7 linked regions of the Callithrix jacchus genome follow. The protein of the gene in region 1 interacts with the protein of each later gene in a pairwise test. Links are inferred from orthologs where the notes say so. Each region holds a gene or a part of one and is shown in the gene's direction. Other genes may lie near its edges.

What was found.
Region 2: the proteins of GRN (region 1) and SGTA interact in binary tests that used the Homo sapiens proteins (3 or more experiments, as listed by UniProt). The two-hybrid records come from large-scale screens. The link is inferred for Callithrix jacchus from reciprocal best matches to the Homo sapiens genes GRN and SGTA.
Region 3: the proteins of GRN (region 1) and FAM76B interact in binary tests that used the Homo sapiens proteins (3 or more experiments, as listed by UniProt). The link is inferred for Callithrix jacchus from reciprocal best matches to the Homo sapiens genes GRN and FAM76B.
Region 4: the proteins of GRN (region 1) and ARFGAP1 interact in binary tests that used the Homo sapiens proteins (3 or more experiments, as listed by UniProt). The two-hybrid records come from large-scale screens. The link is inferred for Callithrix jacchus from reciprocal best matches to the Homo sapiens genes GRN and ARFGAP1.
Region 5: the proteins of GRN (region 1) and OTX1 interact in binary tests that used the Homo sapiens proteins (3 or more experiments, as listed by UniProt). The two-hybrid records come from large-scale screens. The link is inferred for Callithrix jacchus from reciprocal best matches to the Homo sapiens genes GRN and OTX1.
Region 6: the proteins of GRN (region 1) and FAM131C interact in binary tests that used the Homo sapiens proteins (3 or more experiments, as listed by UniProt). The link is inferred for Callithrix jacchus from reciprocal best matches to the Homo sapiens genes GRN and FAM131C.
Region 7: the proteins of GRN (region 1) and NLK interact in binary tests that used the Homo sapiens proteins (3 or more experiments, as listed by UniProt). The two-hybrid records come from large-scale screens. The link is inferred for Callithrix jacchus from reciprocal best matches to the Homo sapiens genes GRN and NLK.

Annotation. Positions count from the first base shown.
Region 1 is NC_133506.1:71,185,900-71,190,180, forward strand, and holds the start of GRN (progranulin), read left to right. Parts: upstream 1-1,481; 5' UTR 1,482-1,514; intron 1,515-1,757; 5' UTR 1,758-1,797; intron 1,798-4,281. UniProt on the Homo sapiens protein: Secreted protein that acts as a key regulator of lysosomal function and as a growth factor involved in inflammation, wound healing and cell proliferation. Regulates protein trafficking to lysosomes, and also the activity of lysosomal enzymes.
Region 2 is NC_133523.1:2,600,011-2,603,799, reverse strand, and holds the end of SGTA (small glutamine-rich tetratricopeptide repeat-containing protein alpha), read left to right. Parts: intron 1-142; coding exon 143-257; 3' UTR 258-262; intron 263-941; exon of another isoform or gene 942-1,343; coding exon of another isoform or gene 1,344-1,356; intron 1,357-1,846; coding exon of another isoform or gene 1,847-2,745; 3' UTR 2,746-3,228; downstream 3,229-3,789. Other genes in the region: uncharacterized protein LOC118150284, read right to left, coding at 1,344-1,356, 1,847-2,745. UniProt on the Homo sapiens protein: Co-chaperone that binds misfolded and hydrophobic patches-containing client proteins in the cytosol. Mediates their targeting to the endoplasmic reticulum but also regulates their sorting to the proteasome when targeting fails.
Region 3 is NC_133511.1:44,463,792-44,467,382, forward strand, and holds part of FAM76B (protein FAM76B), read left to right. Parts: intron 1-101; coding exon 102-182; intron 183-832; coding exon 833-968; intron 969-3,591. UniProt on the Homo sapiens protein: Negatively regulates the NF-kappa-B-mediated inflammatory pathway by preventing the translocation of HNRNPA2B1 from the nucleus to the cytoplasm.
Region 4 is NC_133506.1:58,775,890-58,779,480, forward strand, and holds the end of ARFGAP1 (ADP-ribosylation factor GTPase-activating protein 1), read left to right. Parts: intron 1-151; coding exon 152-228; intron 229-1,232; coding exon 1,233-1,542; 3' UTR 1,543-3,385; downstream 3,386-3,591. UniProt on the Homo sapiens protein: GTPase-activating protein (GAP) for the ADP ribosylation factor 1 (ARF1). Involved in membrane trafficking and /or vesicle transport.
Region 5 is NC_133515.1:51,066,357-51,070,570, reverse strand, and holds the start of OTX1 (homeobox protein OTX1), read left to right. Parts: upstream 1-1,388; 5' UTR 1,389-1,456; intron 1,457-1,806; 5' UTR 1,807-1,875; intron 1,876-3,435; 5' UTR 3,436-3,546; coding exon 3,547-3,643; intron 3,644-4,214. UniProt on the Homo sapiens protein: Probably plays a role in the development of the brain and the sense organs. Can bind to the BCD target sequence (BTS): 5'-TCTAATCCC-3'.
Region 6 is NC_133508.1:53,398,286-53,402,492, reverse strand, and holds the start of FAM131C (protein FAM131C), read left to right. Parts: upstream 1-1,378; 5' UTR 1,379-1,617; coding exon 1,618-1,639; intron 1,640-1,762; exon of another isoform or gene 1,763-2,774; intron 2,775-4,207.
Region 7 is NC_133506.1:105,342,352-105,345,920, reverse strand, and holds part of NLK (serine/threonine-protein kinase NLK), read left to right. Parts: intron 1-1,225; coding exon 1,226-1,424; intron 1,425-2,296; coding exon 2,297-2,390; intron 2,391-3,569. UniProt on the Homo sapiens protein: Serine/threonine-protein kinase that regulates a number of transcription factors with key roles in cell fate determination. Positive effector of the non-canonical Wnt signaling pathway, acting downstream of WNT5A, MAP3K7/TAK1 and HIPK2.

The DNA of each region.
Region 1 (4,281 bases):
CAGCTCAAGGAGATGATCCTGAAGTGGAATTAAATCTCTCTTCTCCCGGCCCGGCGCGGTGGCTCACGCTTGTAATCCCAGCACTTTGGGAGGCCGAGGCTGGTGGATCATGAGGTCAGAAGTTCGAGTCCAGCATGGCCAACACAGTGAAACCCTTGTCTCTACTAAATATCAATCAATCAAGCAAGCAAGCTGGGCGTGGTGCCAGGCGCCTGTAATCCCAGCTACTTGGGAGCCTGAGGCAGGAGAATAGCTTGCCGGGAAGCGGAGGTTGCAGTTAGCAGAGATCGCGCCACTGCACTCCAGCCTGGGCTACAGAGCTAGACTCTGTCTCAAAAAAGAAAGAAAGAAAACAACAACAAAACCGCTTTTTCCCCACTTGAAGCCAATCTACTCCGTACACCTGGCACCTGCGCACAATCTTTTATCTTAAATTAGATCCAATGCCAGGCGCTGTGGCTCACGCCTGTAATCCCAGCACTTTGGGAGGCCGAGGCGGGTAGATCACAAGGTCAAGAGATCGAGACCATCCTGGTCAACATAGTGAAACCCCGTCTCTACTAAAAATACAAAAAATTAGCTGGGCACGGTGGTGAGTGCCTGTAATCCCAGCTACTCAGGAGGCCAAGGCAGGAGAATTGCCTGAACCCAGGAGGCAGAGGTTGCGGTGAGCCAAGATCGCGCCATTGTACTCCAGCCTGGGTAACAAGAGCGAAACTCCGTCTCAAAAATAAATAAATAAGATCCAGCTTGAGCCTGTCTCCTACCAACCCCTGCCCCCCGCTCCCGCCCCGCTGACTCCTTGAGGAAAGGGCTTGGGGCTGCTTATCTTTGTCTTCAAATCCATCCTTCAACTCCGTCTGGGGCCTGCCTAGCATGTCATCCGAGTTTGCAGAATAGGGCAGGACGGGACAGGGCAGGGCAGGGCAGGATAGAATGGGAGCGAAGGAGCCAGCCCGGTAGCTCACGCCTGTAATCCCAGCGCCTTGAGGGGCTGCAGTGGGAAGATCGCTTTGGGATCAGGAGTTGCAGGCTGTAGTAAGCTATGATCAGCTAGGGCAACCATCACTCTAAAAAATAGAAAGGGGAAATTAAAAAAAAAAAAAAGAAAAGAAAAATAAAAAGGAGAGCACAAATATTCCCAATGCCCCACACACGCTATCATCTCTAGCAAACTCCCCCAGGCGCCTGCAGGATGGGTGTGGGAAGGCAGCAAGGAGAGCACCGGCTGCCCTGTTGAGGCTGGCCCGGCGTCACATGATTCCCCAATCACATGATCCCTAGAAATGGGGTGTGGGGCGAAAGGAAGCCGGGAGGTGAGTGATTTGAGTAGAAAAAAAACACAGCATCCCAGGCTGGCCCCGCCTCTACGTCGATAAGTAGCCAATGGAAGCGTCGTATCCCGGACCTCTGGCCAATGGAAACTGAGGTGGGCGGGTCATCGCGCTGGGGTTTGTAGTCCGTGAGCTGCTTGACTGGCTGCTGCTACCCAGGGACCGCGGACCCGAACGCAGGTAGGAGGGCGGCCGCGCAGACCTCTCCTACCCAGGGGCCTGGCCAGGGCCATGTGCGCTTGGGGTTACCCTGGAGTATCAGCCGGAGACGACAGAATACCCGCTTATTGAAACTCCTTTGGGCGTTCCTATACACTGGAAGGAGTTATATGGGGGAGAGGAAGCAGTAATTGCAGTGACCCCCGTTAGAAGGGGGCTCTCCCTCCCCAGCATTCCGGGAAGCTGAAGTCCTTTCCCCCAAAGCAGGGACCACGCCATTCTTGCGCCAGATCTACCGCTATCGGTAGGTGCCGGCGTCTTCCCCTCTCGCGGTGGTGCTGGGTGGTCCCCGCGGCAGCCTGGAGCCAGAGGGGCGCGCGACCCTGGGCTGGGAGCTCCAAGGGCCTGGGAATCGGACCTGAGACTTTGGCTTCTCGAAGGTAGTAGGGACTTGGGAGTGGTGACAGAACCTGGTCTGGCTCCTCCTTACTTCCTCTTGTAGGGGGTGGGACGAGCTAACTTCCGCCTCTCCCAGCCACCTTTTCCTGCTCATTTGCAGCGAGGTTGGCTCCCCTTTTGGGAATTTCCTCTCCGCTTGGCACTCGGAGTCGGGGAGTGCCACCTAGTGGAAGATAACAGAGCTAGGGCTTGAAGAGGCTGCTGTCCTTTCTGGCTGTTTTGGTGGTGTAGGGTGGCGATGAGAGGGTGTGTTTGGCTCTCCTCCTCATCCCTGCTTCTGTATGCCCGTGCATGTATTGAGTAGAAACGTACAGTATACTCCTTCAACTCAGTGTAAACAGGAGGGGGCACATGCACAGGTAACTCACCAGGGAGCCGAACAGTCCTGTGCAGACAGGCTCCCCTTCCCAGCAAGCCAGGGCAGCAGACAGCCTGCTGAGAACACCCAGGAAGCATGTGGTGCCAGCTGCAGGTGCTTTGCCCAGGAGCTGTGAGGCTGAGGAGAGGGTCCACTGTCCAGTACCAGTCAACTTCACCCTTATCTGGCCAGGAGGTGGCCTCTTGGGGATGTTGACTTAGGGGAGGGGCACTTGAGGAAAGCCAGGTGGAGCAGAGGGTGTGAGTGACTGGGTGGGGAGATTTCCTGCCACTCCCCCACAGTGGTGTCCACACAGAGACTCCTGGGGGAACTGAGGCACAGACAGGGAGCAACTTCTCAGGCCATCACAGTTGGCAATTCTAGGATTAGGACCCAAGTGCGATTTCCAGGCAGTCCCTGTACCGTTTTTGTCCTACCTGATGCATCTATCCCCCTGGGGCTTAGGGTCCATTTCCAGGCACTGTCCATCGTGCCGCTAGTAATATGAACCCAGGTCCAATATGTTCTGGGCCCATCAAAGCCTGTTGTCACAATGACCTGATGTGTGACGTGTTATAGGTGTCCCTTCATGGAACTGGGTTCAGGACCCCAAAATCTGCAGATGCTCAAGTCCCTTATATAAAACGGTGTGGTAGCTGGATGCGGTGGCTCATGCCTGTAATCCCAGCACTTTGGGAGGTTGAGGCAGGCAGATCACCGGGTCAAGAGATCAGGACCATCCTGGCTAACATGGTGAAACCACATCTCTACTAAAAATACAAAAATTAGCTGGATATGGTGTCATGTGCCTATAGTCCTAGCTACTCAGGAGGCTGAGGCAGGAGAATCACTTGAACCCAGGAGGCAGAGGTTGCAGTGAGCCGAGATCATGCCATTGCACTCCAGCATGGGCGACAGAGCAAAACTTCGTCTCAAAAAAAAAATGAGCAGGTGTGGTGGCACGCACCTGAAGTCGCAGCTACTTGGGAGGCTGAGGTGGGAGGATTGCTTGATCCCAAGAGTTTGAGTCCAGCCTGGGTAACATAGCAATACCTCATCTCTAAAATAAAAGTAAAGATGTTAATTACTACTTTGGATGGTGGTTGCACAGAAATAAAATATGAAGTGTCTTGTAACTGGCTTAGAAGCCAGTTACAAGACTGTTTTCACTCCTTCAGGCTGTGTAACCTCTCTGGCCACCCCCCTGAGCTAGCTGGGCTAGCTGAGCCTGGGAGAAGAGTTGTTTAGGAAGTGAGAGGCTGCTCCCCACAGAGACTCAAGGCTCAGTTCCTCCTGGTGACTCAGATGGGCAGCCCAGTGGTCACACGTGGTCTCTCTCCACATGTGGCTGAGTTTCACTTCCAGAATAGAGGGAGAGGCAGGGATGGGGATTAGCATGCTTGGGGAATCTCAGAGGGCCCTAGAGGTGTGGGGGACCCTCAGAACACAGGTGTCTCAAAGGCTGACTCAGCCTGTGTCCCTTTCCCTTGGCGAGGAGGGGACATTAATGGCAGGTGGTGACTGGCCTCTGGGGAGGGCAGCCCAGACTCTGCTAGCCACCATACTTCCTTTTTCACAACCTTCTCACCCCTGTGGTTTCTCATGTCCTCATGTGGCTGCTTCCCGCAAGCCTTACTGGGGTACAGGTATGAACATGATGTCAGGCAAGGAGGCATCTGGAGGGGAACCCTGGTTTTTTGGGGGGGGACTCCCTCTCTGCCCTCCAGCCCTGTCCTCTCCCATGGCTACTGATGCCTTCCCCTCACCTCAGAGATATCCCACATCTGCACAGATCAGACCCCCAAAAATCACATCTTCCTGACTTGTAAGCCTGCCCAGCGAGGCCCAGCTGTTAGACCATGCGTTGGGGATTCAGACGCACAGGTATACACATGTCAGCATTCATGCTCACAGGTCCGCACGCGCTGAGGCGTGTGTCACACACAGGGCGCTGTAGTCAGCCGACTTAGC
Region 2 (3,789 bases), on another chromosome or scaffold:
CCCTGCTCCGGAGGGCCTGGCATCCTCTGGCGAGCAGTCAGACCTGTCTGTGGGGTGGAGGGGTCAAGGGGTCAGGTGGCGACGGACGGAGGCAGTGGCAGGCTCCTGGCCCTGGCTGAGCCCCGTGCGCCCTTCCTCACAGCGGTCAGCAGTTTGCCCAGCAGATGCAGCAGCAGAACCCGGAGCTGATAGAGCAGCTCAGGAGCCAGATCCGGAGTCGGACGCCCAGCGCCAGCAACGACGAACAGCAGGAGTGACGCCGGTGAGTGCAGGGCCCAGGATGGGGAGCGGCCAGCAGGAGTGACACCGAGGGAGTGCCCCGAGGGGAGGGCAGCCAGCAGGAGTGCTGCCCGGGGACTGTAGAGCCCCCCTGGGCACTCGACAGTGAGTCCTGAGCACGTCCGGCTCAGAAGCTTGCCCTGAACCGCTGAGGCAGGTGGGGGCATCTCTGGGCATTGGACTCCTTTCCAGGTGGCCGCCACCTCCTTCTCCCCCGTCCTGTTTCCCATCTGTGGATCGGGGCTGGGTGGAGATGAGGGGGAAGCCACGGCTTCCTGGGAGGGCTGGTGTCTAGGGGTCTGGGCCCCCCACTGGAAGGGCTGGTGTCTGGCGTCCCCCCCGCGGAAGCTTTTTGTTTCTGCAGCGTCAGAGCTGCCACCTGGGGGATGGAACCAGGTTTTTGGGTGGTGGAAAGGACAATCCGGGCACCTGCCTTTGACTGCACGTCTGAGCGTTCTGCCTACGTTTTTTGAGCCACCGCGCCCGGCCCTTGTGAGGGATATTTTTGTCCCTTTCTCACTGTGAGCAGCCATTGCGCTTAGCGTTGTTTAAAAATGGCCAGGCACAGTGGCTCACGCCTGTAATCCCAGCACTTTGGGAGGCCGAGGCGGGTGGATCACGAGGTCAAGAGATCGAGACCATCCTGGTCAACATGGTGAAACCCCGTCTCTGCTAAAAATACAAAAAATTAGCTGGGCACGGTGGCGCGTGCCTGTAATCCCAGCTACTCGGGAGGCTGAGGCAGGAGAATTGCCTGAACCCAGGAGGCTGAGGTTGCGGTGAGCCGAGATCGCGCCATTGCACTCCAGCCTGGGTAACAAGAGCAAAACTTCGTCTCAAAAAAAAAAAAAAATGCACTTGGAGTCCCCCGTGGGTTCCAGGGGCCCGTGGCTGGCTTGGTTTCCATCCCGGGGTTCCGTGTCCGTCCTGTCCGTCCGCAGCAGATGCCGACTCCTGGGCCGAGTAGCTCCAGGCCTCCCGAGGTGTGTCCATTCTGCTCCAACGTGGCCTCTTCATCCCGTCACCGTTGCTGGGGGCGTCCCTTGTGTACACATTCTCATTTTTTAACCAGAATTACTGTAGATAAATTTAAAGGACAAACGTGAAAAAGCAGCAAGAACAACCTTAATCTTTTTTGTTACTTTGAGACTATCCTGCTCTGTCACCGCGACTGGAGGGCAGTGGTACGATCACGTCTCACTGCAGCCTCAACCTCCTGGGCTCAAGTGGTCCTCCCACCTCAGCCTCCCTGTAGCTGGAACTACAGGGACACAGCACTGCACCCGGCTGAGTTTTGTCTTTACTGTACAGGCGGGATCTCACTACACTGCCCAGGCTGGTGGTCTCAACTCCTGGGCTCAAGCCATCCTCCCACCCCAGCCTCCCAAAGTGCCGGGATGACAAGTGTGAGCCCCGTGTTCAGCCCAACCTCAGTCTTTTCACCCAGGGCAACTGACGTTCATATTGCGGCCACCTTTTCTTCCAGTCTTTTCTTGTTTAAAATAAGTTTTCATTTATTTATTTTTTTAATAGTCGAGGTGGATTTTTCACCAACATAACCTCATACCCAAAGTCCCGCCACACTGCAGACCCTTCTAGATCACGGCGGCGTTCTCTGCGCCACCGGGCACACGTGGCCCTGAGTGTCCGGAATGCTGCCGGCGTGGCTGTGGCTCTGACGTCCGTTGAGAGAGCTGGCGTGGTCCCTGGCTGAGGGCCTCTCCTCCTGCCTAGAGTGTGTGGTGCGGCCGGGGTCTCCACCTGTGCTCTGACCGCCGTCACATCTGTCCCCCTCCAGCCATTCCTCGTGTGACCGCGTCCTTCCCTGGCTGACTGGAAGCTTCCGGGTGTTTGCTGTCTCCTGTTGGACTGCCTGAGAGAGGGGAAGAGAGAGACCTCGGACCTGCATGTCAAGATGGATTTTCCCTTTGATCTCTGCCTCCTCCACTCCCTTTTTGTAACTCCCTTGTAGCCCCCAGACCTTTCTTGAAACAAGAGCCAGCAAGCTGAGCACAGCCCAGCAGCGACCTCCCTCCCAGGCCCCAGACAGCCCATCACTTGAGTATTTTCTAGAATCCTGGGGTGCTCCCGGCCCCTCAGTGAAGCGGCAGCTTCCACGTTCAGCCGCGTGGCGGATCCTGTGGCTTCCGGAGCCTTTTTACAGCCCCCGCCCCCTCCCGTGCTGAGAAGCTGCTCCCGGCCTCCCGGGCCCCGTGCCTGCTCGGAAGAGCTCACTGCCAGCTGCGGCCCGGACGCTGCGCCGCGTGTCTGCATGAGGACCTCTTCCCTGGCAGACATCCAGGGGGCAGCTGCAGTCACCCCACGCCTCCGCGGCCAGGAGCCGTCCTGGGTGCATAGGACCAGTTTCTGTGACTTTCTCCAGTCCTGCGTGTCGGGAGACATGCGTTCCCCGCCACCCACCCTCATTTTCCGGTCCTCGAGACTGAGAGCCACGAGTGTCATCATGACTGGTCCGGCTGCCTTAGCCGCGGGCACGGGGAAGGCAGCTGGGCCATTTCTGTCTGTGTCCCATCCTGCTGTCCTTCCGTCCTGGGTGTTTCATAGGCCCAGGGCCCGCCGGAAAGCTCACCCCTCCAGTTCCAGGTTGAGGCCATGGAGCACCTCTGGTGCCACTCACCTTGGCCCTAAAACAGCCACCAGGAGAGCAGCCGAGAGCTAGACATTGGGGGGCCTGCCTCAGCTCCTGGGGCCTGGGGGTGGCAGGTGAGCCCACGGCGCTGTGGTCCCAGCAGCAGGGCTGGCAGTCGGAGCATCCTGGGAATCCCTGGGTCTTGGCCGTCTGCGAGGTAGGCGCAATACCATGTGTCGTAGGTAACAGTAGGAACGGGGCCCCCAGGGCCCTGCAGCCCCTCATGGCGGTGAGGTGTGTGCCGAGCCCATCTGGGTGCAGGGCGTGATGTGTAGGGAATAAATAGGCGTTGTGACCTCTGTCCGTCTCCATGTTGACCTTGGTGCCACCTATCCCCCACAACCCCAGACTTCGAGAAAACCCCTGAAGCGGACTTTGCAAATCAGCTGGGCTGGTTGTGAGTGAATCCCCTCGATGCCTGGAGCCGCACTTCCTGGGTCACCGGTCCCAGGAGGTTCCAGACTGCCATCCTCTACTCTCCCCTCGGCCTCGCCCCCAGCTGCATCACGGTGCAGAGGGTCCCTCCTGGCTCAGGTGAGATGCGTCGGCCCTCAGCAGAGAGTGACCCTGTTGCTGGTTGCTTTTGCAGCATGTCACAACTCCAGAAATTCTGTATTCTGTAACCAAAGTCACCTCCCTTTTACAGCGGTTCTCCCAGGCAGGAAGGAGCCCAGAAAGCTAGCCTGTCTCGGCCCCAACCCGAGGCCGCTGCACAGGGTTTTTGTGGACGGAGAAAGTGCTCCCTGGGCTGGGTGCAGTGGCTCAGGCCTGTAATCCCAGCTCTTTGGGAGGCTGAGGCGGGCAGACCACTTGAGGTCAGCAGTTCGAGACTGGCCTGACCAACATGATGAAACCCGTTC
Region 3 (3,591 bases), on another chromosome or scaffold:
CAAAAATAGTATTTTCAGTAATATTTTAGGGGAAGATGAATAACTTATCATTTGGTTCCTCTGTCCTTTTTACTCTAACTATTCTTATTGTTTGGTTTCAGCCATAAATCCTCTGCAGCAATTCAGAATGAAACTCCAAAGAAAAAGCCCAAATTGGAATCTAAGCCATCTAATGGAGATAGGTAAAAATGAATTATTTTAGTGTTGTGAAAATTCAGTTTAGTTGCATAGTTATGGTTGATTGCCAGTTATTACTAGATAAAAAACTAGAAACAGGTATTTTCTACATTGACTTGAGTCACCTAGAAGAGTAAACATAAATCAGTTTAAAATTTTTAACTTAATTTTGGCAATAAGAAAGTGGCACTGAACTATGTTGTTCTATTTGGGAAATAAATTTGGGTTTTGAAAAAAAAATCAAATCTGAATGGAGAACATTATTTTTATCTTTATTCTTCAATGAAACACAAATCTAATTGTGATATTTTAAATTGACCTGCTTAGAAAATGTTTTTAGATTAAAAATATGAGCGTGACTTTGTTTTAGTTCATTAGCCAAAAGTTTGCTGATGTTACTGTACAAATTGGCTGCCTATTGCTTTACACTAGAAGTATTGACCCCCTAAAAGCTAATACTGAATTATATTTCTGCAGGTGTATGTAATGTGTGCCATTAGTAAGGTAATTTGCCAGTTGCATCCATTTCTGTCAGGTACATATTTTTTTGCATTAGCCTTAAGGATGTTTGTGGAATTGTCTAATTTATGCAATTTGAACACCTGCTAATTTTCCTTCTCCTTCATTTAACTGTGTTTTACTTTTTTCTTTTTAGTAGCTCTATAAATCAGTCAGCAGATAGTGGGGGAACAGACAATTTTGTCCTTATAAGTCAACTGAAAGAAGAAGTGATGTCACTTAAGCGTCTCTTACAGCAGAGAGACCAGACCATTTTAGAAAAAGATAAAAAGGTAAGAACATCGTTCATTGAAGCCTGATAAGAATTATGTCTTGACTGTTGGTTGCTTAATAATCACAAATTTTATTAGTCTTTTTAAATAATTTGGTAATGTTTGTTATGCATGATTTTTATAAGACAAATTACAAAAGCCCTCCCACCCCCCAAGCCATCTCATGAAGATAGGTAAAAAAATGGTCTTTCAGAATTTTAACTGTAAGAATTAACTGAGAGCTTAATTAGGATATAATTTCTAAACTTTAATTTTCAGTAAACATGTCATTTAAAAATAGGTCTACTAATACTTTAAAAATGAGATATAAATGGAATATTTTGTAAACTTTTGTGATTTAAGAAAGTAGTTTAAACATAATATTTGATATTCCAATCTAAAAGGTCATTCTGTAGGAAGTAAGTGTATATATCAGTTAAATCAAGAGGAATATCAAATGTGTTATCCATTTAGCAAAAACAGGAATATTAACAGAATTATAGACAGATTTAAGGTCTTGTACTATGAAATCAGGATGGCATAATAGTGGTCAGGCATGGAACAGTAAACAGTTTTGAAGTTATTTAGCCATACTTAGATTCAAATCCCAGTTCTAAGATTTTCTCTGTAACCAGGAGCAGAACGTATACTTCTTTGGGCCTCAGTTTTCTCATTTAAATGAGAGCATAATACTATTTCAAGTGACGGCTGTGATGATTAAGGAAAATACATTTATTTACTGTAGCTCTTGGCATGTGAAAGCGCTCATAGGGGTTATTACTGATGCTTGATCATCTTTATACTTGTTTATGGTCCCAGACAGTGTAGTTTGACCTGTATCAAATTTATTATGCATTAGAACACTAAAATCATTTCTTTTTAAAAGAATAAGACCTTATTATGGATACATATATGAATCATATTCATCTCTGAGTACCTATAGTAACAGACTTGAATCAGCTGGCTTTTACTTCTGGCATTCAATAACTTTTGTTACATCTTCTGACACCTTGATGGTTAGTGGACTTAATTTTTAATACATTTACACCTTGCTTTAAGCAAATTCAGTATATGAAACTTAGGAGTGACATACAAGATAAAAGTAGGATGGTTATGGGTGTCTTTGTCTTATGGTTCTTTTTAATTGACAACATTTTTTAAATTAATGAGCTTTTATGGAAATTTGTTCTATGTACAAAGTTTTAGAGACAAGCCAGGTATATCTGCATTAACCTTGAGAAAAGTTAAATAAAATGCCAAGTTTACTGCAAAATTGCAATGATTTTTAAACCAAATAGTAATCAGTTATAGAATATTGACTGTTAGATTTTTCTTTCCTATCTAGCAGAAGAGGTATTATACTAGATTTTTCTTTCCTCTCTAGCATAAAATGTATTATCTTTGTTTGTACAGTTGAAGTTTTCTGCTTTTGTTAGTATTACTCTTTAAAAAAACCAAAATACTAATGGGGATTGAAATTAGTATTGTTGTAAGAAAAATTCTAATGGTAAACCTTAAATAGCTACACATTTGCAGCTTTTTCTTATAAATCTAAGACAACCAAGTTATTTTCCTGAATTGATTTTACAGAGTTATTTAGTGACTTCTAGAGCCAGACACTGAACTAGTTCATAAGGATGCAAAGATGAATAATTAAAACATAATTCTTATCTTCCAGAAGTTCATAGTTGGGGGCAACTCACAGTATAGTGAATAGAGTAATTGTCTTAGCTGATCTGGTGTGAATTGGCATTTCAGAACAGAAAATCTTTTGTGAATATAGAAAGTTGAGAGAGAGAACTTAGTTATACTTTGAATTTGACAAAAGCAAGGGCTTTTTTTGTGTGTGTGGAAAAATAAGTATATAAGACTCCATGATTTTCTGTTTTTGCTGTTGTGTGTCTTTCAGTTTATTAGCTACTGGGTAATTACAAAAGAATGTGTAAACCTTTAAAGCTGACATAATGAAAAATGTTAAAAAAATAACTTGCAGCTGCTTCTGCATGGTTCTAATAGTGAAATTACATAATAATTCATTCTTTGGTTTGAAGTCATGAGATGTTATGCTTTTTATGTATGTCATTTATGTTTATGAAAAATTATGTAGCCTTTCTCAGAGCACTGATGTTTTTCTTACATTAGCCCAAATTTTATAGTAACCCTCTTTCCTTTCTCATTCGTTGTAGTTATATTTCTTTGCTTTGTTTTCTGTTTTTACCTCGTGTTAGGTGGTTATGTACATAATCCTGGACATAAATTTAAAAATAAAAACAGTGTAGCTTTTGGCTGAGAAGACCATCCCTTTTTATATTGCCCAGTGTGAAATTTCTTTCTTTAAGCATTGAAAGATTATTTTACCCTTAAACTAGTTTTAATGTTTGTTTATACTGTTATAAATGTTATTGAAGTACCTTTTTGAATGAGACATTTTCCAAGTTATTAGCCGTTAAGCTTTTTTTGTTGGCATACCAGTTGCCAAACTCTATTCCCAGTCAAGCTACATTTAGAAAAAAAAGAAAACTCAAAAATTTTACTGATGGTCGGGTATTAGCATAAAAATCACACTATTGTAAAGCAGGTAGATTTCATCAATTCACAAAACAAATTTTAGGTTGTACAATTCAGGAAACTGCAAAGAACATCT
Region 4 (3,591 bases), about 12 Mb from region 1:
AGTGTCCGTATGCGTCTCTGTCTGTATGAGTGCACCAGGCACCCCTTGCTTCTGGATTTTACCTGGGCCTTCTCAGCCAGTCGGTGTGCACTGGCTTGCGTGCCTCTGCCGTGATGGGGCCTTCCTAACCTCTCTTCCCATCTCCTTCCAGGTCCAGGGAGTCAGCAGTAAGGGATGGCGGGATGTCACCACCTTTTTTTCAGGGAAAGCAGAAGGCCCCTTGGACAGGTACACCATGTCCCCATCCCCCGAGCCTGTGTCCCACCCCCTCTCTTGATGGTGGTCGGCTTCCTTGCTGGGCAGTGTGGGGGCGGGGGGCATCGTGGAAAGCTCTTCTAGTGCTCTGCCGCTTCGGGGGCCTGTCTCACCTGTCCCTGCCCTGGCTGTGTGCTTTTTGGAGCAGGAGCTGGGCACCTCAGGCTGGGGTGGGAGGGAGAGTCTTACTCACTGATCAGAGGAGGAGTCGGCGCTGCTCTGCCATTCCTCTGTCTCCCAGACTCTGGGTGGGTGGAGCAGATAGGGGACCAGGGGACAGTAGGGCTGGGACCCCCAAGACCTGTCCTGGGCCCCGGGCTGGGACCCCCAAGACCTGTCCTGGGCCCCGTGTCCAGCTCTGCCCTTGGCACTGGGTGCCCCAGGCATTCCTGCTAGAAGCTGGCTGCTCTTCTCAGTCCCTGACCCCAACAGGAACCACAGGGCTCTCATAGGGCCTGGCCCTGTGCTGTCCACTGAGACGCCAGCCCTTGTGAACACGTATGCTCTGCCCCCAGATGGGCCCAAACTTTCCCTACAGTTGCTACGTCCTTTCCCTCTCTGTGTGTGTATAGGGTTTCAGTGGTATGACTACAACTGAGGGCAGAGGGCAGGGCCTGGTCCAGAGCCGACATGCGGCGGGGGCATCTCTCGGGAGAGCCTGAGTCCCCACGAGGCCAGTGCCCCTCCCCCTCCCCCCTTAACTAAACCACTGATGACATAGCAGGTTAGAGCTGGTAGAAAAAGAAATTTTCTGTAAAAGAGTGGGCCCTGGTTCTCCAGGTCCCTGGCACAGTTTCCTCTGCTCTAAAATGGGAGAACCAGCTCCTGCCTGGCAGGGCTGCTGTGGACCCCGAATGCTGGCCTGGGAAGGCGCCACAGGGCCTGGTGGTCACTGTAGGTGCAGAGCTGTTGGGGGCACGGAATTCTGAGTGGTGGGCTGAGTGACATTCACAGTCCCCCTTCTGTCTCTTTAAAAGCCCCTCTGAGGGCCACAGTTACCAGAACAGCGGTCCAGACCACTTCCAGAACAGCTCCATAGACCAGAGCTTCTGGGAGACCTTCGGGAGCACTGAGTCTGCCAAGGCCCGGAAGTCCCCGAGCAGCGACAGCTGGACCTGCGCGGACACCTCCACGGAGAGGAGGAGCTCCGACAGCTGGGAGGTGTGGGGCTCAGCCTCCACCAACAGGAACAGCAACAGTGATGGTGGGGAGGGTGGGGAGGGCGCCAAGAAGGCGGTGCCGCCGGCTGTGCCTGCCGACGATGGCTGGGACAACCAGAACTGGTAGGGCCACCGCAGCCCCGTCCCCAGCGCTCTGGGTGACTTCGTGTTTGCACTCTGCCCTCGTTCTCCTTCCCTTTGACCCAAGAAGCAGTGACCGCAGTGTGAGGACAGCATCTTGGGAGGCAGGACTCTGGGGAGACGGGTTCGTGCCACCTGTCCACCGTGGGGTCTCGGTGCGTGGGACGGCTTGCTCTCCATCCCCTGCGGGGGGCTGTCCCATCCCACACTCCTTGGGCATTCTTGGACTCCAGCAGGGGCCCGGTGTGGCTTACTGGGAGGTGGGCTGCGGCACGGACCCTCACAACTGTGTTCCGGTGGCTGGTTTGACACATTTTCTCCAGGGTCAGGGACCAGTCACGTGCCATGCTGTCAGCGATGAAAGGAGCCGAGTCTCGTGGAGATGTTTAACTCTGGGTTTGCTCTAGTTCTTTCTTTGAAGAAAGTGACTGCAGTGGTAAAGACGGCAATGCTGAAGGAGACACTGGCGCTCACACTGCCACTGACCACCCTTGCTCCTGTGTCCACGCCTGCCTGGGCCCATGTCGTTACCCCGAGTGGCTTCCCTGCATCGGCCTCGTCCAGCCGCCACATTCACTGGACACACCTCCCAACGGCCATGCCTGAGCTGTTCTCAGTGCTGAAACTTGACTATTCTGGAATGCCCTGTTAAGACAAAGGAGTGCGGGGGGCCGGGTGGGCCCTCAGCCCCGGTGCAGTGGGGTGCGACAGTAGGAGGGGCTGAGCTAGAGTCACCTGTGTGCAGTGCCTGGGTCTGGAGAAGGTCCAGCTTCTCGTCAGCCCCCAGCATGCAGCTGTGCTCATGTCCCTCTGACACCCCCCTCTGGCTTCTCTGTCATTTGAGTCTGGTTGGCTGCCTGGAGCCTGGCTGGCTTGAACCTGTTGGATGGGGCTGCCCTGCAGCCTGGTGCCCACCCCATGCTGACCTTCCCCAAGTACTGGATGACATGCCGCTGCATGTGACTCAGTCTCTCTCATCTGCTGTGTGTGACCCTCTGTCTTGGCCAGCTGTGCATGTGCTGGAAGCTCGTGCAGTGTGTGAGGTGCTCTCCCCTGCCGCCATGCTCCTCACTATGGCCTCAGCCATGCTCCCTGATCACCCCACTTTCCAGCCGCCATCCGCAGCGCTCCTGGAGCAGCCTGGCCCTTTAGCCCTGCGCACGTCCCACCTCAGGGAGTCGGCCACCTGCAGAACAGGATGGGTCCTAGATTTCAGGGAGCCCTCCTGGCACCCGCTCCTCCCTGTGGGCACCAACCCCCTTGGTAGCCAACCTGGAGGGCCTGTGCCTTTGGCTGCCACAGACTTGGTCACCAAAGCAGCCACCTGCTATAGTTGGACCTGGGGTCAGAGGCTTGGGGTGCTGAGAGGCCTCAGGGCAAAGTGGCCAACACAGAGGTCACAGGAAGTCAGTCTTGGAGAGCGGAGCATGAGGTCTTGGAATGTCTTTCCTGAGCTGAGACTTGGGTGGCCTTGCGATTTTCCCCAAGGGCTGCTTGGATCCTGGTGGGCTGAGTGCTCTGAGGAGGGGTGCATTCCATCCTGGAACCCAAACTCTATCCCCCCACCCCCTGGGAAGGTGCCTTGCTTGGGGGCAGGGTGACAGTCCCTTCTAATGGAAAGTGCTGTCAGTGTTGGGAGGGGTTGGGGCCACCTTCGGAACGGGATGTGGTGGCCAAGACACCTCCACAGAGGGTGAGGGCCTTTCCCTTCTGCAGGTGTGGGCAGGTGTCCCAGGACCTGTGGGCGCTGGGGCCTCGCCTGGCTGTGTGAGGGCCCATGTGGAAGGCACAGACTTGACAGCTTTCCAATAAAGCACATGGGAGCACGAGGAATGTCTGGGTGCATCCCAAGGGGCCACTTTCAGTGTGGTGTTAGTAGGGTCATGGGATCCCCAGGGAGCGGCGGTGGAGCACTGGGCTCCCTCATTTCTCCTGGTCCCTTGCTGCACCCAGCCTTCCTGGGGAGTCCTTGGCTTCACCCCATCTGAGCCAGACCTGGCAAGTAGGCAGTTGGGTGACCCAGCCAGAGAAGTGG
Region 5 (4,214 bases), on another chromosome or scaffold:
CTTGGGGGAGGGGGAAGCACTTTGATGAGCGGCGGCCGCGGCCCCTTTTCACTCAGCGGGCTCCCCTTTCCTTCTCCTCCTTCTCGCCCAGCGCCCGGTCTGCTCTCGGCGCCCGACCCCGCGGCCCGGGCTGCGCGGGTGCTCCCCACTGCGATGCGCCTGGAGGCTCCTTGACTCGCCTTCACACTTACTCCTTTGCAAACTTTTTACTACTCCTGTCGGGGTGAGGGAGTAGGAGATTAGAAACAAGGGGTAGAAATTCCTCGAAAGGTAATAAAGTGCCTAATTTTCAGGAGGAGGTGCCATTTAAAAGATTCGCCTTACTCGGAGTTGGGACGAAAACACTTTTTTTGCACTTTGAAAAGTCCACCCAGGTAGACGCGTTTGGGAAGTTTGTTCGGCTAGGAAATGGGCTTCACATATACGAACAATCCGGGGAAATCGCCTCAAGGAGGCTCCTTACGCAGCATGTGGAAAAAAAGTTGAGGGCAGGGGTCTGTGGCCACATTTTTCATCTAAAAGTCCCTGTTAGAGGGAGACTAGGAAAGACAGAGTGTGAAAAAGAAAGTTTCCTAGCAAAATGTTTGAATTAAGAAATAGGGTGTGTGTGTGAGGGGAAGAGGACGCTGGGTTCCAATGTTTCAGAAGAAGCGCTTAAGACTTGTAAACACCCTTGGTGGGGACTGGGAACCCCGGGAGAGGCCGACGAGCAGGTAAGTGGCGGCGCCCTTCCAGTGGGTGCTCTTCTCAGGCGCGGGAGTCCCGAGGCGCCGAAGAGAGATCTGCGCGCCCGGAGCTGCTCCCGCGCTCTGCAAAGTAGCCTGTGCTGGCACGAGCCGCCCGCGGCGTCGGTCTCAGGTGGCGGCGCAGAGGAAGGAAACGTTGGGGCCCGCGGCGCCGGGAGAGGGGCAGACGCCCGGGCTCTTCTAGTCCGCCGCCCCCGAGTCCTGGCGCCCACATCCGGGCGGCAGAGCCTGGTAGTGCCTCGGAGAGCGAAGGAACCGGTTCTCCAGCACCTCGCGCTCTCCGAGCCACTCCCTCCAGAGCGCCTAAAGCGCGAGAGAAGGGCCGGGGGGCCCAGGGCAGGCTTGGGGACCCGCGGTCCCCTCAGCGGCCAGGACTCCGGCTCTCCGCTCGCCTTCCTCGGCTAGCTCTGCGCCGCTTTTGCCAGCCGAGTTAGCGCGCGACCGGGGCGGGGCGGGCGGGCGGGCGGGGAAGGCGGGGAGTGGGGGGCGGGGGAGGGCGGGGGCGCGCGGAGGTAACCCCCGGCTCGCGCTGCCATTGCCCGGCTCCCTGTCACTCAGCCCGCGCGGGGCCCCCGATTGGCGGCCTAGCCCCGTTACGCACTCGCCTCGCGTTCACATACCCGGGGAGGGCAGTAGAAAGGTGATCAATCTTCATCAGGCTACATTTCCAATCACCTAAACAACCGAGCAAGACAAGCCACTCCGACAAGGTAAATCGCTTGATTTATTTAGTTTGCAAAGTGACTGTGCAGGACTTCCCAGTCCCCACTGCCTCCACGTTGTATCGGGAGTGCCGCGGCAACGCCGAGCCACCTCCCAACTCTGCCACTCGAATTACCCCCCTTGCGGCCCCTCGGCGCGATTCCCGGTCAGGCAATGTCCTGAGAACGCGTGGGGCTTAGCAAACAAAGTGTCTGTGCAATAAAGTGAAACCCTTAGGGACACGCACAAAGCCACTGGAAAAAAAGATAGACGTGGGAGGAAAGAAGTTGAGAAAAGAAAGAAACCGGGGGTCCTAGACCAGCCGCCGGGGTAATTCCTGTGCCGCTCTGTTTTGCAGGTTGGCTGCCCGGCGGGTCTCTGTGAGGGATCCAGGTAGATGGTGAACGGCCCCGGCAGCTGAGGGCAGGTAAGGAGAAAGCCGCGGGGCCACCCGGGACTCCGGGAGCGCGTTGGTTACCCTTACCTCCCCCTCCTCAAATGGATCCTCGCTTCCCGGAGCCCCAGCAGGTGGGCGGGGCTGGGGGAGCGGCCTGACTCCCCTCTGGGTGCGCGGAGGACCCCGGGGCGCTGTCGCGGCCCGCCGCCCCCTCCCCCGCCTCCTCCGAAGTAACCGAGCTGAAGTGCTAAGTTTGGAGAAAGTCTTTGAAAACTCAGGCTGCAGCCTCGCAGAGCCGTCGCAGCTTTGAGTCCCATTTTCCTTTGGCCTAAGAGCCCTGGCTGCTTCCCTTCTCGTTCCCTCCCTACAAGCTGGACTCCTCCTCTGGCCTTGGGTCCGAGAGGACGGGGGCAGGAACGGGGCTGGGGGGAGCTTCTTTAACTCCAACTTCTCTCCCTAAACGTCCTAACCCGAGTCCCTGGCCTGCTTCACAGCGATCCCGCAAAGCGGGGTGTAGCGACGGCCCCCTAGAACCCCAGGCCCACTTTCCAGTGCCCCTCCCTGACCCTTGAGAGTGGCGCCTGGGTTCTCGGCAGCAGCGGGGGCAAGGCTTCGACCTCCCAGCTCGGGTCTGCGTGGGCTCTGCCGCTGAGGCCTAGTTCTCTGTTCTCAACAGTGTCCTGGGGCCTCGGGTTCAGCTACTAGGATGGCAGCATGCAACTTGCTGCCCTCTGGCTTCGCAAATCTCAGAGACCCTTTAAGGTGCTGGGCCCCAGCCTTCACCCCCTGCTGGGACCATGTGGTCAGAAGCCCAGACTGGGCAGAGAGAAGGACGGGTGCGCGCTGGCAACGAAGGGCGATGGCCGCAGCTGAGGCGCTCCTGACCTCAGGCCGCGTCTTGGGATCGCCCCCTCTACAGTGTTCCCTTCAGCGTCCTCTGGCCCTCTGCGGCCTGGGCCCGTTGCTGCGGTTGAAGTGTGGTGTGATTCCGCGTCAGCGATTTTTCAGTGGTTGGGCATAGAGAAGTTAGCTGGAATGGTTATTGTGGGCTCTGGGGCAGGGACGCAGCCCTGGACGCGTTAGAAGAAACCAAGTGTCTAGGTGCATAAGAGGTTGAGGTGCAGTTAGTCCTCCACATTGCCTCACCTTGGCCCTTCATAGTCTCTACCTTTTCAAAAACACTGAAACAAAACGAAACAACCCTGCATGCTCTGGGCGCCCTGCCCCGGGCACCAAGTGAACTTTTGTTTGTGCAACATGAAGCCGGCTTCTGCCGGACTCAGAATTTTGCCTGGACTTGGGAGGTTGTACATTCTGTGTTTCCAGCTCTACCTCCCAGCCTGGCCCTGCTTTTAACTTCTTACTCTATGGACTCCCTACCAGTATCTTTGGCCCATTCCGAGCCTAGAGCTAGAGGACCTAGAAAACTTTACTTTTCAAAGCAACTGTGGTTTCTGGGCTAAGTCCTTGTGGAGGCTAGTTGACCACCCTGCGGAGTTCTGTAACCTGCCTTCCCTGTCTATCCCCGGACAAGACTTGAAAGCCAAGTGCCTCCGACTGATGGTTTCCGTGTGTATCGTGTCTCCATAGGCCAGGCCCCCAGACGCATCAGAGCCTGAAGGACTGCGCAGTGGGAGCCCTGCACCGCTCCTGGCCCCGGGCCCCCTGGATCTGTCGGGGCGCCTCCACCCAGCTGTTAGCATGATGTCTTACCTCAAACAACCCCCATACGGCATGAATGGGCTGGGCCTGGCCGGGCCTGCCATGGACCTTCTGCACCCCTCCGTGGGCTATCCGGGTGAGCACCGGCCTTCCGGCCCCTGCCCAAGACTCTCAAATGTTGGGGACCCTCAGACTGTTGGGTTTGAGTGTAAGCTTTGTTGCCGAGCAGGCCCAGGGAGCCGATTGCCTAATCTGTTTACAGTACAGGGCCCACTGTCGGCGCACTGAGCAGACTCGTGGGCGCATGAGGTGGCCAGGGCTGAGAAAACGCCCAACGTGCGCCTTCCCGGCCGGGTCACCGACAACCTTTCTCCTGTTGTGGTCCCATCGCCAGCGCAGAGCGCATTTACCCGCGGATTTGCTAGTAAGGGGCGGCTGATGATTTTCCTTTTCTCCCAACATGGAATGAGTAATCTGGACACTCGTTAGGCCCTGACCGAAGGAGCCAAACTTTCCTTATGTGAAACGGCAGGTGGACTGAAAAAGGAAGATTCTTTCTCTCGAATTAAATTGTCCTCTAAATCAATGTCCTGCACCCATTTTTGCACTGCTGTAGAGGACGACTTGAGTCAAACCCCGGTTTCTTTTTTAGCTCCCACTCGTTTACACCATTTATTTTCTCTGAAAGTGTTTTTCATCTTTCCTAC
Region 6 (4,207 bases), on another chromosome or scaffold:
CAGATCCTGCCCCTCAAAAGGCCTCCATCCCCACCCCATGCTGCTGCCTCAACCCTTATTCATTATTATCATTATTATTATTATTATTTTGAGACAGAGTCTTGCTCTGTCACCCACGCTGGAAAGCAGTGGCATAGTTTCGGCTCACTGCAACCTCCGCCTCCCAAGTTCAAGTGATTCTCCTGCATAGACCTCCCAAGGACCTGGGATTACAGGCATGCACCACCACGCTCAGCTAATTGTTTATATTTTTGGTAGAGACGGGGTTTCACCATGTTGGCCAGGCTGGTCTTGAACTCCTGACCTCAAGTGATCCACCTGCCTCAGGCTCCCAAAGTGCTGGGATTACAGGCATGAGCCACCACGCTGGCCCCTCCTTATTCATTCTTCAAAACCCCTCTCTGCCAAAACCAGTGAACCTGGCTGCCTCACCTGGAAAACAGACACAAGAGTGGCTGTCCTGCCTGGTGCACAGGTGAGCGTGAAGGAGTGAGATACCATGTGTGAGTGAGGGTCTCAGACACTGGCACTGGGAAGTTTTGCTAAAGGATCTTCAGACCTCAGGAACTGGGATGTGTGTGTGTGTAAATGCAAGCATACATAAATGTGAGTGGATAACTCTGTCATTGTGTGGGTGTCAGTGGGGGTATGTACACGCGGGAGAGTGTGTGTGTATTCACGTGTGTGTGTTTGTGTATATAATGCAAGTGTGTGTGTATATGTGTGTGTGTGTATGACCACCAGTGTGTGAATGAGGGGGATGTACACATGGGAGAGTGTGTGTATAGGTACGTGTGTGTCAATGTGAATGACTACAGAGGTCGTCCAGTGCTGGGGAAAAAACCCGTGCCTCAGTTTACTCTGCCCTAGACAAGCCCTGAGAGGCAGCCTTGCCCCCATCTTCAACCATCGCGTTGGAGATCCCAGGCCACCAGCGCACCATCCCCACTCTCTACCCCAACTTTGGGCATGTATTATTTTGCATATGTTAATTTCAACAGCTCTGAATGAGGTGTTGACAGTCAAAAGTCGCTAAATTCATAGCTTAGGGCTCACAGGCAGGGCCTCTAACTTCTGCAAGCCTCACTTTCGCCCTCTGCAAAATGGGCCTAATGGAACTGTTGTTCTTGTGCGCACCCCTCCCCAACCCCCAAGCCCTCGTGCCCAGTTGTCGCTGTTGCGGTTAAATTCATCTTGTTTACTTTGTGCCCCAAATGTCAGGAGTCTCCCCGCCCCCTCCGTCTCCTTCCCTGACCTTCAGCCCTTCAGGGAGGTGCCGGAGACCCGAAGGGACAGAGGTGGTCCTCCCGCACTCCGCGGCCACAGGTGTGCCCAGGTCTCCCGGCTGCGCTTCCCCTGGCCCCGCCCGCCGCGCCCCGCGGTTTCGCCCTTCCCTGGCGGCGGCAGGCGCGGGGCGGGAGGCGGCGGCGCGAGGCGAGCCCGGCGCGGCGGCCGCGGGGACAACCCGGGCGGGAGCGGAGGCCGAGCCGAGGGCGCCCGAGCCCCCTCCCCGCGCGTCCTCTGGCTGCGCAGCGCTTAGCCCCGGGCCCGCGGAGACATGAGCGCCCCGCGGCCCCACGCACCCCGGGGACAGCGGCCCGGCCACGCGGCCCCGTGATGGGCTCCTGCGTGTCGCGAGGTGAGGGGGCCCGGCCGGTGGTGGGGGATCGGGTGCCAGGGACCCGCGCGGTCCTCTCGCCGCTCGGAGACCTGGGGGATGGAGCTGGCGACCCGCCCTTCGCGGCCCGGCCGCACCCTCGGGGACACGGCGTCCTGAGGGGGACAGGGCTGGAGACCGTAGGAGGCGGGGGCAATACAGCGCGCGTGCAGAGGTCACCGCATCGGTGACCCGGGTTCGGTTCGCAGCCCTGCAGGTGACACGAAGCAGGGTCCCGCGCCGCGCTCTCAGCCCTACAGCCACACACCCCCTGCCGGGTGCCTGGGAGGGGAGGGAGGCTCCGGTTCTTCCTGGCTTACTGGAGGAACTGTGGGGCACCCGGAGAACTAGCAGACCCTTCTTCTCCCACCCCTCCCCAAGACACAGGCCTTACCAGCTAACCCCCTCCACCCCTCCCCACACCTTACCGGGTACCCCCATCTGCAGAGCCCCGGAGCCCTGTTGGCAGGAAAGGGTTAATGGTGGGGCACAGGTTATCTAGAAGGTTCCCCTGCCCCAACCTTTATCCCTAATCCTCCTCCCCACCCCCATTCTTGGTCTGGGGACCGAAGGGCCAGAGCTCAGCTAATGTTCCCGGTTACCCCTGGGCCTTTCTGTGTCTGACCTGCCACCCTGCACTCTCCCCCAGATGATACCCAGGGAGGTGGAGGGTCCTGCCCTTGCTTGGGGTCACAGGGCAGGCCCCGGCCCCTTCTGTCTGTGAGGAGGGGATGCAGAGTCTTGCACAGAGATTGGGGGATGGGCAGGTTGGTCTTTGGAACCCCCTTCCTCCACCCCAAGCACCACCACCAACTTTCCAACAGACCTCTGGGCAGCATTTTAGACAGCGATTGGGCTAAGCCCTTCCCCAACCTTGGTCCATTCACCCCACAGTGGGATCAGGGGGTGTGGCTGGGAGTCGGGGTGGCTTTGGCCTTGGTTCAGGCCCTGTAGGCTGAGGCCAAACCCATGGATCACCACCACACCTGTTACCCCTAGTAGCTTATCGGGAATAGAGGGGACCTTGTCCTGGGGGTGTTGAGCAAGGAGCACAACGCCCTTCCCCCATCCTCTGGACTCTAAGGGCTTCTGCTTGGGAGTTTCTGTGAGCGTTCAGGTAAGTGGCTCAGGATGTCTCTGGGAGATGTCAGGAGTGGGATCATGGGTGAGGAATGGGAAGGTACAAGGTCACTGTAACTTCCCTGCCTTTCATGGCCCGGCCGCACCCCTGGGCAGGCAGTGTCCTGAGGGAGACAGGGCTAGGGACGGCCGGGGGGCGCGGGGGGCAGGGGGGGGGCAGCACAGAGATCAAGCATGCAGAGGTCAGTCACCGCAGGCATCCCTGCCCCAATTTGCAGCCCGGAAGGCAACAGGGTCCCATGCTGTGCTCTCATCCCTGCAGCCACACACCCCCTGCTGGGAGTATAAGGACTATATGAGGTTCCTTTACTTATCCATGCATTAGGCTGATATTAACATGATGCCCACCATGTGCCAGGCAGTGTGTGCACGCTGGACATCCAGCAGCGAGGAACCCAGCCCAGCACCTGGTCCAGGAGGCCCCAGCCTAGCGGGTGGGGAAGGGAGTTTGAAGAGTAAGGAGTGCTGGGGGTTCTTTAGGCCCTCAAGAGTCTGAGGGTGTCTCCAGAAACCCCAAAGGTTCTAGGCAGTCTCTGGCTGAGACCAGCTCCAGATTGAGGGAATCTGAGTGTTTCTTCAGTGGTCACATCCCTTCCCCTTCATTTGGCCACCCCATGCCAGGTGCCTTGGGGTCCCAGCCCAGGTGGACTGGCCTGTGAGCTGAGGACCCACTGAGCACGGGGCAGAGGCCAGGGAGGAAGAGATACCTGCTAAGGTCACCCTGAGAGGCTGGGGCCCAGGTCCTCTGACCCCACACCTGGGGTTCCTTCCACCGGCCCCTCTTCCAGGGTTCTTTGGGGCCACAGCAGGCAAGGTACGCTCCTTCCACCCTTCCTCTGCAGCCTGGGCTTCCCCAGTGTCCCCCAGATCTGACTCGATGGTCCAGCTTTGTCCCACTCCTGAGAGGACCAGGCCCCTGACAGTCTCGACATGCACCCAGGAGATTTGGGTAGAGGTGAAAGGAGTATGGGGAGCCACGTGGGCAGAGGACAGCCAGGGTCCCAGAGACTGGGTGGCTGCACCACTGACTGCCCCCGCCCAGCTTTCTCCTTGTCACTGATGCTCTCCGAAGCATACTAATCTGAAAGTTTTAAGCAGCTAAAGCTATTTGAGTTATATATGAGCACAGTCTCCATCTTACAAGTGGAAAACTGAGGCAGAGGGCAGTGGAGTAACTTGACCAGGGTCACACAGCTAGGAAGGTATAAACCAAGATTAAAACCATGGTGCTCTGACTCCACAGCCTGGGGCCTCGGTCTCTGCACTCGAAGCCAGCCCTCGGCCCTGTTGCCTGCACCTGTCTACTCTCCTGCAGCTGCAGGCTGCCGTGGGCTCCTGAGCTCCCACCTGGCCCCAGCACCAGCAACTGATTGCTAATCGTAGCCTCTGAGCACTGAGTGCCTGCTGGGC
Region 7 (3,569 bases), about 34 Mb from region 1:
TCACCAAATAAAAAACATGAACTCATTGAAAGGAAAACAAGCCAAGGTTATCAAGTATACATTTGCCGGTTCATGGTAAATAAAACACCCGCTTTCTTCTGAGATTATCCTATCATGAAAGGTCATGACATGCCCTTTTAGATCAGCATAGCAAAAATCAGAGATAAAAGTGTTTGTAGGGAATCCAGGTTTATGGAAAACATTTTTTTATTATTTGGGGACCAGAACAATTAGGATGATTCCGTTGTTTTTGGTTTATTTGAAAATGAAAGTGGGTTTCTTCTTTAAATTGTGTAATGTGAAGTGCTTGGTCATATTGGAATCAGAGCAAAGTGTTAGTTCTCATTTTTGTTCTACTCTGTACTATTGAGTTCATCCTTAAATCCTTTAAAATTTACTTTGTCTCAGTAGTACACATTAGCCTACTGAGCTAAAAGAAGGCACATTAATTTTTTAATGGAGTAATAAGTTTAAAAGTTTAGATTTTCAGGTAACTTAAAACTAATATATTAAGTATTCTGATCTAAAGTGACAGAAAATGATTGGGCACGGTAGCTCATACCTGCAGTCCCAGCACTTTGGGAGGCCAAGGCTGAGGGCCAGAAATTCAAGAACATAGGGAGAACCCATCTCTACAAAAAAAATTAAAAAAAATAAAGTACCAGAAAATAAAATGCTAGACTCCTGATATTCAGACTGAGCTGTATCTCAAAACATGGCAGTCAGACCGCTATCTGCTGCCTAACTCCAGCAGCTTTTGCCTTAGTCTGTTTGGTATTCTAAGAGAATAAAAATGTCAAGAAGCTTTGTAAGACTGCCACTATGAACATATCTTCTAGATACTGACACATATTTAGAAAATACAGCCTGTTATTTAAAATATAAATGTAATCCCATTCGAAGCACTACATAGTTAAATGTCGTGGTATTTGTGATTTTTGACCCTGCATACATCTGTTTCAGGGTAGGAACTTCTCAGAATTTCAACAGAAAGGCACTTCTAAGTGCTTTATGATGGTAGATGGTAACAGTAGTTGTCCTAAATTATACACTCCCTATGCTGCTATGTTACCCACCTCTAAATTCAGTTATCCCTCTTTGGATGGAATGTACTATAAATTATATATAAGCCGTGTAAAGCAGTTAATATGTCTTTTGAAAGATCCTATGTGGACAGTCATATTTATCTGTAGTGTTGATGTGCTGGTCTCTAATTTGATTTCAGTCCAAAAGAATATCCGCTAAGGATGCCTTAGCCCACCCCTACCTAGATGAAGGGCGACTACGATATCACACATGTATGTGTAAATGTTGCTTTTCCACCTCTACTGGAAGAGTTTATACCAGTGACTTTGAGCCTGTCACCAATCCCAAATTTGATGACACTTTTGAGAAGAACCTCAGTTCTGTCCGACAGGTTAAAGGTGAGTATCTGGTTTGGCCTTGGGCCAGGCAAGATGCCAAGTAACATTTTCCATCAGGTGGCCATGAAGAGCTGAGATGTGGTTGGTAACCAAAGCTCCCCTGTATGTTTATTTTACAACCCTGTATATAGCTATGTGTCCAGGGCATAACAATTCATATTTAATATTAAACACAGGGGAAGGTTAGGGAGAGGAATGAATAGTTTGTTCTTATTTCAGTTTATTTAGTGAGTATGACTCAATACATTTTATATGTATTCACTCAATGTCATTTCATTGATTGAAACGTATTGATCTTCTTTATATAACATACAAAGTTCCATTAAATATAAAAATTCACTGAGGGAATCATTCCTTGGCTGATGACAAGAGAAGGGAATTTCTGATAGTGTACTCATAAAATTTTGTTGCAGGGTCTCCTATTAGGATACAGTGGGGGTAATGACATCCAAAATTCTGAGTGATTTTAGTGTCTACTCTAGGACATTTTACAAGAGAGGGGAGTCCCCAAGTAACCACCTGAAACTGTACACCTAGATACCAACTGATTTTCCAAAAGGCAGCAACTTAGAAGAGTTCATCTATAATGCCAGACCTTGGAGTCTCTCTCAAATTTATAGACCATTTTACTCTTCCTACTGATGGGGCTGCAGTCTGTAATGCCACCAGTGGGTTTTTTGCCTACATTTAGCAACAGCTGTCGTTTTCGTTTTAGGAAGTTCAGCTGAATTCTGCTTGATAGATGATGTGTTTTTTGATTTAACTAAACCAGTAGGAAATGCTATTCAGATGCTGGCTAGAGTCAGCTGAGAATTCACTGCTCCTGGGCCTGCAAATTGTCATGGATTGTATGATGCTTGCTTTCTCCACAGAAATTATTCACCAGTTCATTTTGGAACAGCAGAAAGGAAACAGAGTGCCTCTCTGCATCAACCCTCAGTCTGCTGCTTTTAAGAGCTTTATTAGGTAAATATATCTATGTAATTCTAATATTCTTGTTAGAATTAAAGGATGCCAGTGTTATTTGATTATTCAGCATATTTGTTTTTATTTAGATAACATAGGTAAAAGGTACAACAGAAAGTTTCTGTTATGAGGCTTGACTGTATTAAAACTAAGCAGGCCAGGCACAATGGCTTACACCTATAATCCCAGCACTTTGGGAGGTCAAGGCAGGTGGATCACCTGAGGTCAGGAGTTCAAGACCAGCCTGACCAATATGATGAAACCCCGTCTCTACTAAAAATACAAAAATTAGCCAGATATGGAGGCATGCACTTGTAATCCCAGCTACTCGGGAGGCTGAGACAGGAGAATCGCTTGAACCTGGGAGGTGGAGGTTTCAGTGAGCCGAGATCACGCCATTGCACTCCAGCCAGGACAGTCAGAGCAAAACTCCATCTCACAAAAACTGTAAGCATCACATTTTACACTGGTGCCAGTTCACTGTGGTTGCTTTGGCAGTATTTTTGCCAGATGATCATTGTGCTGCATCATCATGTACGTGGCGATTTCCTGGAGTTAATGTGGTCATCTCAGTTCCCACTACCATTCCCACTCCCCAGTAATAACTGCAAGTGAGAAAATAATTTTTTTGTATGCTGGTGGACTGCTGGTGTATCCTGTGTAGAAGAGAAGCCAACAAGCTTATGGTAGAGCTGTGAACCTACTTTAGAACTTACCAGGCTTTATTCTCCTTGTCTCTCTGTCCTTTCCTTCTCTTGATCTCTTTTTGTTTAAGTCTTTATATATCAGTCAGGGTCCAGTCAGGAGAAATAAACCACTTCCCTATAATATGAATGGGGATAATTTAGTAACAACAATTGTTAACTGGGAAAGATGATCAACTGATAAAAGGCATAAAAGGATTCTGAAGACTGTTGAAGTAGCAAATGCAGAAAGCAGCTACTCCCTGTAGACTGAGGTTGCTTTGGCAATTTTTTGACAGAGGGAAAGTAAACAAAGAAATTTAAGAATTTAGAAGTAGTTCCTCTATGTAAGGACGTCTTTGGAGAGGGTATGGCTGCCACAGGAACAGGAACACAGCACAAGGGTGGTGTGCAGAAGAGGAAGTGTGCCAGAAGGTGTGGGCAGAAGTGGTCCATCAAAGAAGCCTGCCAGGAGAGTCTGGGTGGACCAAAGCTG